Arabidopsis thaliana: one gene and its partner. The protein of the gene in region 1 interacts with the protein of each later gene in a pairwise test. Each region holds a gene or a part of one and is shown on either strand. Other genes may lie near its edges.

Region 1 (3,753 bases):
ACTCGATAATAGTTATTTCAAATCGCATATAGTACCTGGAGTAGATTCATAATCTCCATGCCTGATCTCGTTTCCTTCTTTTTCTCCATCAACACTTGGTTTAACCTCTCCTAAAACAAGATCAATTTTTAATTAATTAAGATTGAACCTATATTACAAACACTCTGAACTTGCTATGTGAACCCATACCTGTAACTTTATGTACTCTTTTTCTTTCTTTTTTGTTTCATGTAATTGTTGGGTCTTGACTTGCTTTCATACACAAACAATAACAAAATGTTCAAAAAGCATTGCATCAGCATTCCCAAATTCTTTGAAACATGATCCGCATCACAAAAAAACTGAGAATTCGAGCTGGTATTAAGCAACGATTCAAACCTGGTTAGCAATCACCATTCGTTGAAACTCATCTCTCTCTTTTTGAAGCTTCTCATTCTGCGTCTTTAAAGCCGCTGTATTTTTTGCTTCCTGACCAAAAAAAGTATGTCATGATCCATCATTACATGTTGTCCATATTCCAACCTCGGATATATATCTCTTACCGTTCTTGTCACCGAACCAAGTTCCCTTTCTTTAGCTTGCAATTGAGTCTCAAGCCTTTCAACTTTTGCTTCGAGTCTCGCCATATCGGATAAAAGTCTGAAGTAAACAAGAACTTGGTAAAAACAATGACATATCACATGCAGAAAGCTTCATAGATGCAACAAAAATGGCAATTTCAGTAACTTTATCTCAAGCATTTTTGTCTTCTTCTTTGCTCCCAAAAGAAGTTCACTATAACTATATTCTAAACACACATAAAACCAAAAACAGTAACAAAATCTAGATCACAGGGGTTTCATGTCTAAATCTAAACCAAAAACATATTCATAGCATGATCTATCTCACAGAGTCAATCTCATGCTTAAGAATGAACACTATCATAATGAAGCTACTAAATTAGTTTAACAACATCCATTAATTCACAATGCACATAGAAAAATCAACATTCAGATAAAAAAAACAAAATAGTCACCGTTGTCTCTGATCATTAGCAGATTCTCTAAATTCCACATCTCGTTGCCTCTGTTGAATCAAAGCGTATACGCAATTGCAAGTTCTAGCAATCGAAACCTAATACAAGTTCATCGAATCAGCTTCATCAAACAAATCGATAAACGAAAAAAAACAATTAGAGAATGATTAAAACGCACAGGATCGGTAGCGAAGAGGTCAAGCGAAGCAGAGAATCCAGAGGTGACTAAGCTCTGATTCAAATACTTAATACAGTTCTCCAGATTATCAACATCCGCGAAATTACGCTCCCTGATGGATACACAGAGTAAAAATCGAATCCAATCGGAGAACAAAAAACCTAGAAATGACGAGAAAACTCACCCGATCGGTGACTGTGAGAAACCAAACTGTGGCGTCAACTATAAAAGAAGCAAACACAACAAATGAAGCTTAAGAGAGATTTCGTGAAGCAGTGAGAGAGAATGATAGATAAAGAGAGAAGAATTACTCTGAAATCGAACTCCGGTACAGTCAATGACATCGATAACCGTCGTGTAGCCGCCGTGAAATTGACGCCGGAGATAAATAGAGAAAGAGACAAATTAAACTTTTTCACCAAAATCCAAAAAGATTAAAAAAGTGAGTCAAAAGCAGTGAATGTGTGTCTCTCTTGGATAGATCTATCTTGGGGAGTGAACAGACAATTAAATTAAATCATTTATAATTGGTTTGATTGTGTACGTAACGGTGCACTCAATGTATCCGTGTTTCTTCACGTGATTGTTTAGTGGTTCGATTTTTGCTTACGTGTATTATTATTAGTGGTCGTCTATAGTTTCGTTGGGTCTATCGCATTACTGAGAATAACTAAACAGCATTCAATAACTAACTTTGCTGAATTGTTGGGCGGGAGATGCCACGTAAGACTTAGCAACGTTTTTTACTCTAGCTAGTTCGTTGGAGTCGTGCAGAGCAATATCTTCGTCGTGACTCGTTGTGTATTATAAATTAAATTATGTATCATTTTTTGAAAATTGTAGTATATGTAACATTATACAAATATTATACTATTTGTATATATGCTAAATGTGAAATTGGGCATTGGTATACTCGACATCGCACATTTTGATATTTATGTGGCGTAATAAAGATAGCAACATAATTTTCAAAACCTCGTTAATAATTTTTTATAACATTTTCCAAGATTCTAAAGATGATCAACACAATTTTGATAAAGCAACCGATCAATTCTAAACTCATCCAAATCCAAAACCAAACTCTTTTAAAAAGAAATTGAAATTATATAAAAGTCGTAAATCCTTCACAATATTCATGGGGATTTGCTAGTCAAAATTTGCAAGAGATTTGCTAATTAACACTTTTGCAAATTTTGAAAGAGCTTTGTGAGTTTCTTTAGTTTGAAAGAACTGATTTGCGAGGATTGTTTTTCCTTTTACAACTCCTTAGCTAGTTATAGCCAATTTGCGAGGGATATATTGGTAAGAAATCCTTCTTTACAAATAGCTTGTTTTGATATGGTTATTATCTTGAACTTTCAACAATCGGGAAGAAAAAAAATACAACACACTAGAAAAAGAGAAAATCCATATCCAGCACCAAATTGTGATGTCCATGAAAATGCTAATGAAAAATTTTAAAAAAAAAGTTGAATTCTTTTTACGTGATCCCAAAGAAAAAAAAAAAAAAGACTGAAACTGCAAAGAATGCCTACATAATCTCTTCTAATCAATGTCGCGGCTTCTTACATGAGACACCACTACTGCCACCTCCATCGCGATCGCCAATCACAGAACCCTTGCTCCATATACAATCAGAGAATGTGTCAACGAGCTGCTCAGCCAGAGCCATTGAATCATCATTGAAAGCATTCATGAATGTCGTGACAGTATTTCTCTCCTGACTCGTAGCTCGTAGGCTAAACCAAGTCAAAAACTTTTGTCTAAAAGTGCTCTCAACATAACCTGAACACTCAAGCTTTCTTATGATCTTCACACATTGCTCAAGCCCTAAACCATAGCTTTCCGGATTCTTCTTCGCCTTCTCAGGTTTATCTTGATGGCCATTGATTTGGTCTGACATAAACTGAGGAGTGACGTTGGGGAAATTCTCCAAGACAGTTTCTTTTATGCCAAACTGATTTTCTCTAGAAGAAGTGTTTTGCTTCATCTGTCTTACATCAGAGTTGTTGAAGCAAACTCTTTTGCCTTGGCTCTTGGTTTCAGTTTCTAATGAAAAAATTGTTGCAATATAATGTGTGAGAAACTGAAAAATAGTGTAAATGAAAAATAACTTGTGTGAAACATGTTTTTACCTGAGGGTTGAACTGGAGTGTTATTACGCTTCCCATACGAACTTAAGTGCCGAGGCTTAGGGTTTTTCCTTCGTTTCTTTTTATCATCACTCAAATTAGAGTTACTTGCAGCTCCTGCGTGAAGTAAAATGACCCACCAATAGCTAATAGTAAAATGACCCACCAATAGCTTTTTTTTTTGACAAAAGACTTTTCCATTACCAAATTAAGCAAACAACAAATTGATCTTGAAAAGTAAAACACGATAATAAAAATTCACTAGTAAATTATGAGTAAAAGCATCACTATATATAAGCCGATCATCAAGAGTTGAAAAAGAAAAAAAAATCTCTAACAAGTCCAAGGCTTCATCTTAAAGCGAAAGCACTAAATTTCTAAAAACTGTCCCAAAAAGAAAATTACCGTCGAGAGAAGAGGCCATGAGA
Region 2 (3,753 bases), on another chromosome or scaffold:
AAAAAAAAGGGAAGAGATTATGAAGAGTCACCTTTGAAAGAAGACACGCTATCATGACTGTCAAGGAGTAGCCCCAAACGGGTATCAATACTAGTCTTCACAAAGACACATTGCGAACCGGAATCAGCCATCAGTAAGATTATTGTAAGAGAAATGCAAAATAGGGTTTTGATGAAGTTGAGAAGAAAATGAAACTCCACTCTCTCTGTTTGATATTTATAAGCGAGTTTCTTTCGTAGAGGAATATGAAAAGCTTTATGTTTTTTTTGGGAAATCAAAAACGCTTAATTACTTGGGAAAACACAACGTGTAGGTCGATTCTCTCTTTTCATCGTCCTTTCGTCTTCTCTCTTTTGGTTTATGACTCATTGAAAGGGTTTGACCAGATCATAACTTCTTTCTCTATGGGCCAAATAAGTGGGCCTCACGTTATATGAAGACAGAGATTCTCTAAGGAAACCAGGAATACTAGGAATTGTTGAAAAGCAAAGCTATAAGGCGAGGAAGTTAGCTAAGGGCTTTTCACAGGACAATGGGTTGGAGCAGATGGATTTTATCAAGAGAGATGCAAGTCTATCTCAAGCAAAGAACCATAAATTTTCAAAAGACAAGTACCTGGTGTAGAATCATTGAAGAAACAGCTCCAAGTAATGCCGGTGTAGAATCATTGATCTAAAGTGAAGTGAAGTTTATGGTTTTCTCTTCATGAGCTAAAATGAAGTTGCAGGGAGAAGCTCGGGATCAATGGGTGCCTCAGACAAGCAAAGAAAACGGTTTAGTTTTCTGGTTTAAGCTCAAGTGGGAAATTGAGAAACTGACAACTACGTGTGTTTTGTAGTTACAAGTTACCTGAGCGGTTTTTTGCAGTCGTATAGACATCAAGACAGGGTTCGAAAGATTGTTCTTGTTGAGCTGCATTGCTGCAAGGTTTAAGAAATTCAAAACAGTGAGGAGATGTTGAAGATAAGTCACAGATGTCTTCAATGTTTAAGGTACAAAGAAAGTAGACAAGGCAAACAAAGTCATACATAGTTCTATTTCATGTACTTGAACAGGTTCTAAGATCAAACATCAGAGTGTATTAGAGAATTACCTGGGCCTGTGAAGAAGTTGCTGATGGAGTTAGAAACACCAAATATTTATTTATTAAAACACTAAGAACCATACATATATAGATTTCTCTATTTCCAAAAATAGAATTAACCATAGTCAAGATCTTTCTCAATGTAAAAGAAAAATACTAATATTTTTGTTTAGAGTTCAGACTACGTACGTAATATTTTTCATATCGTATATGAATTTTTATTCGAGTTTCTTTTTTACCTATTTGGATCGACAAAGAATTTTGGATCGAGTTTATTGGCCGACAAAAGACAATTAAGATTATAGTTATTTGTTAGTAGTATTTGATTATGAAATACCAACACATCTTGAATGTTTTCTTTATGTCAAAATAAATAAATAAATGCATGCATTCTTTTTTTTTTCCCTTGCCCTTAACTATGTTTAATTTTGCTGTGATCAAATTTATAGGATTCGAAATCTTGACATGAATGAATGGTAGGAAAAAAAAAAAAGCACTGTTTAAGAGTTAAAAGCTGACGGTGTCAAGTCGCCGCAGCGAATATTTTTTTGTAAAAGAATGGTTTACACTTAAAACACTCGAATCTCAAATTTATATATTACCTTTCCTTTTCTCTAATTTCTCTACTTGGTACTTTTTTTATTTTAGGAAGACGTAATATTTGTTACCAGAGGCACACGCATGGGTAAAAGCGGAAACACCAGAACGCGGATACACGTGTCATTGATCTAACGGTGAGTTAGCCAATATCCTTTGACCTCTAGTCTCATCACCAATATGCCTGGAAAATGATTCACAACCGTCCACGTGGCGATCTATATATCCACATTTACTTTTATACCCTCTTTGCCCGTTTTCCTTCGGGCAACTTCAGTTTTTGTTTCCTTGTATTTATTGACTTTTGAATAAAAGAATTATTTCTTCTTTACAATTTTAGAAAATTGGAAAGCTTTATTTATTGTCTGACCCTTTTACTATTCTTCGGGCAGCTGTTCTTAAAGACATCTTCCCTCTTCCTCAGACACAGCTTCTTCTACTGGAGAAGAGGAGGAGAACACAAATCCAATTCACACTGGAAACGTAAGAAGAAGCGATCAAAGCTTAAACTTCTCTTTGACTCATCATTGTTGTTCTCTCTGTTTTATTTTTCTTCTCAATTTCTTGTTTGAACTTGTGAAAATCATTGAATTGCAATTGTGTAGTGTTGGGTCGGATCCTGAGTGATATTTCGAGACCGATGATGTGGAAGAACATTGCTGGGTTGTCGAAGGCAGCGGCAGCGGCAAGAACACACGGATCTCGGCGGTGCTTTTCCACAGCGATTCCTGGTCCTTGCATCGTCCACAAGCGTGGTGCTGATATTCTTCACGATCCATGGTTCAATAAGGTTGTGTGTTTTATCCTCGATCTTCTGAATTTTAGGGTTCTAAAAATTGATTATAATGCTGATGGTTGTTGTTGTTATGGTCTCTCTATCTCTTTGGTGCTTTTGCAGGACACAGGTTTTCCTTTGACTGAGAGAGATAGATTAGGGATACGAGGCTTGCTTCCTCCTCGTGTTATGACCTGTGTACAGCAATGTGATCGTTTCAGTAAGTTTTGATTCCAAGTAAATCTCATTATGTTTCTTTCTATTGTTTCTGAGACTTTTGGTTTTGAAACATAATTTGGCAGTTGAGTCGTTTCGTTCGCTAGAGAACAACACAAAAGGAGAGCCTGAAAACGTTGTTGCATTAGCTAAATGGAGGATGTTGAATAGATTGCATGACCGTAATGAGACTTTGTACTACCGAGTGAGTCTTTTTGGCTCTAAATACTGTCCCACATTGACACATCTCTGAGACATCATAACTCATCTTCTCTGCAGGTTCTTATTGATAACATCAAAGATTTTGCCCCCATTATATACACTCCTACGGTTGGACTTGTTTGTCAGAACTATTCTGGTTTGTATAGAAGACCAAGAGGAATGTACTTCAGCGCCAAAGACAAAGGAGAGATGATGTCTATGATTTATAACTGGCCTGCTCCGCAGGTAGATATGATTGTCATCACTGATGGTAGCCGTATTTTGGGCTTAGGAGACCTTGGAGTACAGGGAATTGGGATTCCTATTGGAAAGCTCGACATGTATGTCGCTGCTGCAGGAATCAATCCACAGAGAGTATGTTGATCTCCACATGATCTTGTGTGTGTTTTTTTGTTTGCTGTACCTAACTAAGGTTTCACCTCCTTATTCAAAATTATACGCTTGTTCCTCTGCAGGTTTTGCCAATTATGTTGGATGTAGGCACAAATAATGAAAAGCTCCTACAGAATGATCTCTGTAAGCTGTGAACTTAATTGGTCCATGTGGTGTACATGTGTTTCCCTAATATCTCATTCGTCTGTCTTTCCCTTTGTACAGATTTAGGAGTCAGACAACCTAGGTTGGAAGGAGAGGAGTACCTTGAGATTATTGATGAATTTATGGAAGCTGCATTTACACGTTGGCCAAAGGCCGTCGTACAGGTATATATCTCTTACTATCTTCTTTAGATTTACCTTTCGGTTGGAAGGATGACTAAATGATTCATTCCATCATTTTAGTTCGAAGATTTCCAAGCGAAATGGGCTTTCGGAACATTGGAAAGATATCGGAAGAAATTTTGCATGTTCAATGATGATGT

Evidence for each region. Proteins that work in one complex are often made in the same cells at the same time.
Region 2: the proteins of AT2G18876 (region 1) and NAD-ME2 interact in a two-hybrid assay, tested with the Arabidopsis thaliana proteins (one large-scale study listed by BioGRID).

Annotation. Positions count from the first base shown.
Region 1 is NC_003071.7:8,167,467-8,171,219, reverse strand, and holds the start of AT2G18876 (Afadin/alpha-actinin-binding protein), read right to left. Parts: upstream 1,649-3,753; 5' UTR 1,538-1,648; coding exon 1,505-1,537; exon of another isoform or gene 1,416-1,504; coding exon 1,378-1,415; exon of another isoform or gene 1,306-1,377; coding exon 1,194-1,305; intron 1,114-1,193; coding exon 1,016-1,113; intron 640-1,015; coding exon 543-639; intron 469-542; coding exon 379-468; intron 253-378; coding exon 190-252; intron 111-189; coding exon 36-110; intron 1-35. Other genes in the region: VEL3 (vernalization5/VIN3-like protein), read right to left, coding at 2,552-2,583, 2,763-3,242, 3,329-3,517, 3,731-3,749.
Region 2 is NC_003075.7:245,091-248,843, reverse strand, and holds the start of NAD-ME2 (NAD-dependent malic enzyme 2), read left to right. Parts: upstream 1-2,039; 5' UTR 2,040-2,164; intron 2,165-2,286; 5' UTR 2,287-2,321; coding exon 2,322-2,471; intron 2,472-2,579; coding exon 2,580-2,676; intron 2,677-2,758; coding exon 2,759-2,877; intron 2,878-2,951; coding exon 2,952-3,248; intron 3,249-3,349; coding exon 3,350-3,410; intron 3,411-3,491; coding exon 3,492-3,595; intron 3,596-3,673; coding exon 3,674-3,753. Other genes in the region: AT4G00580 (COP1-interacting protein-like protein), read right to left, coding at 32-131. UniProt on the Arabidopsis thaliana protein: Involved in the regulation of sugars and amino acids metabolisms during the night period.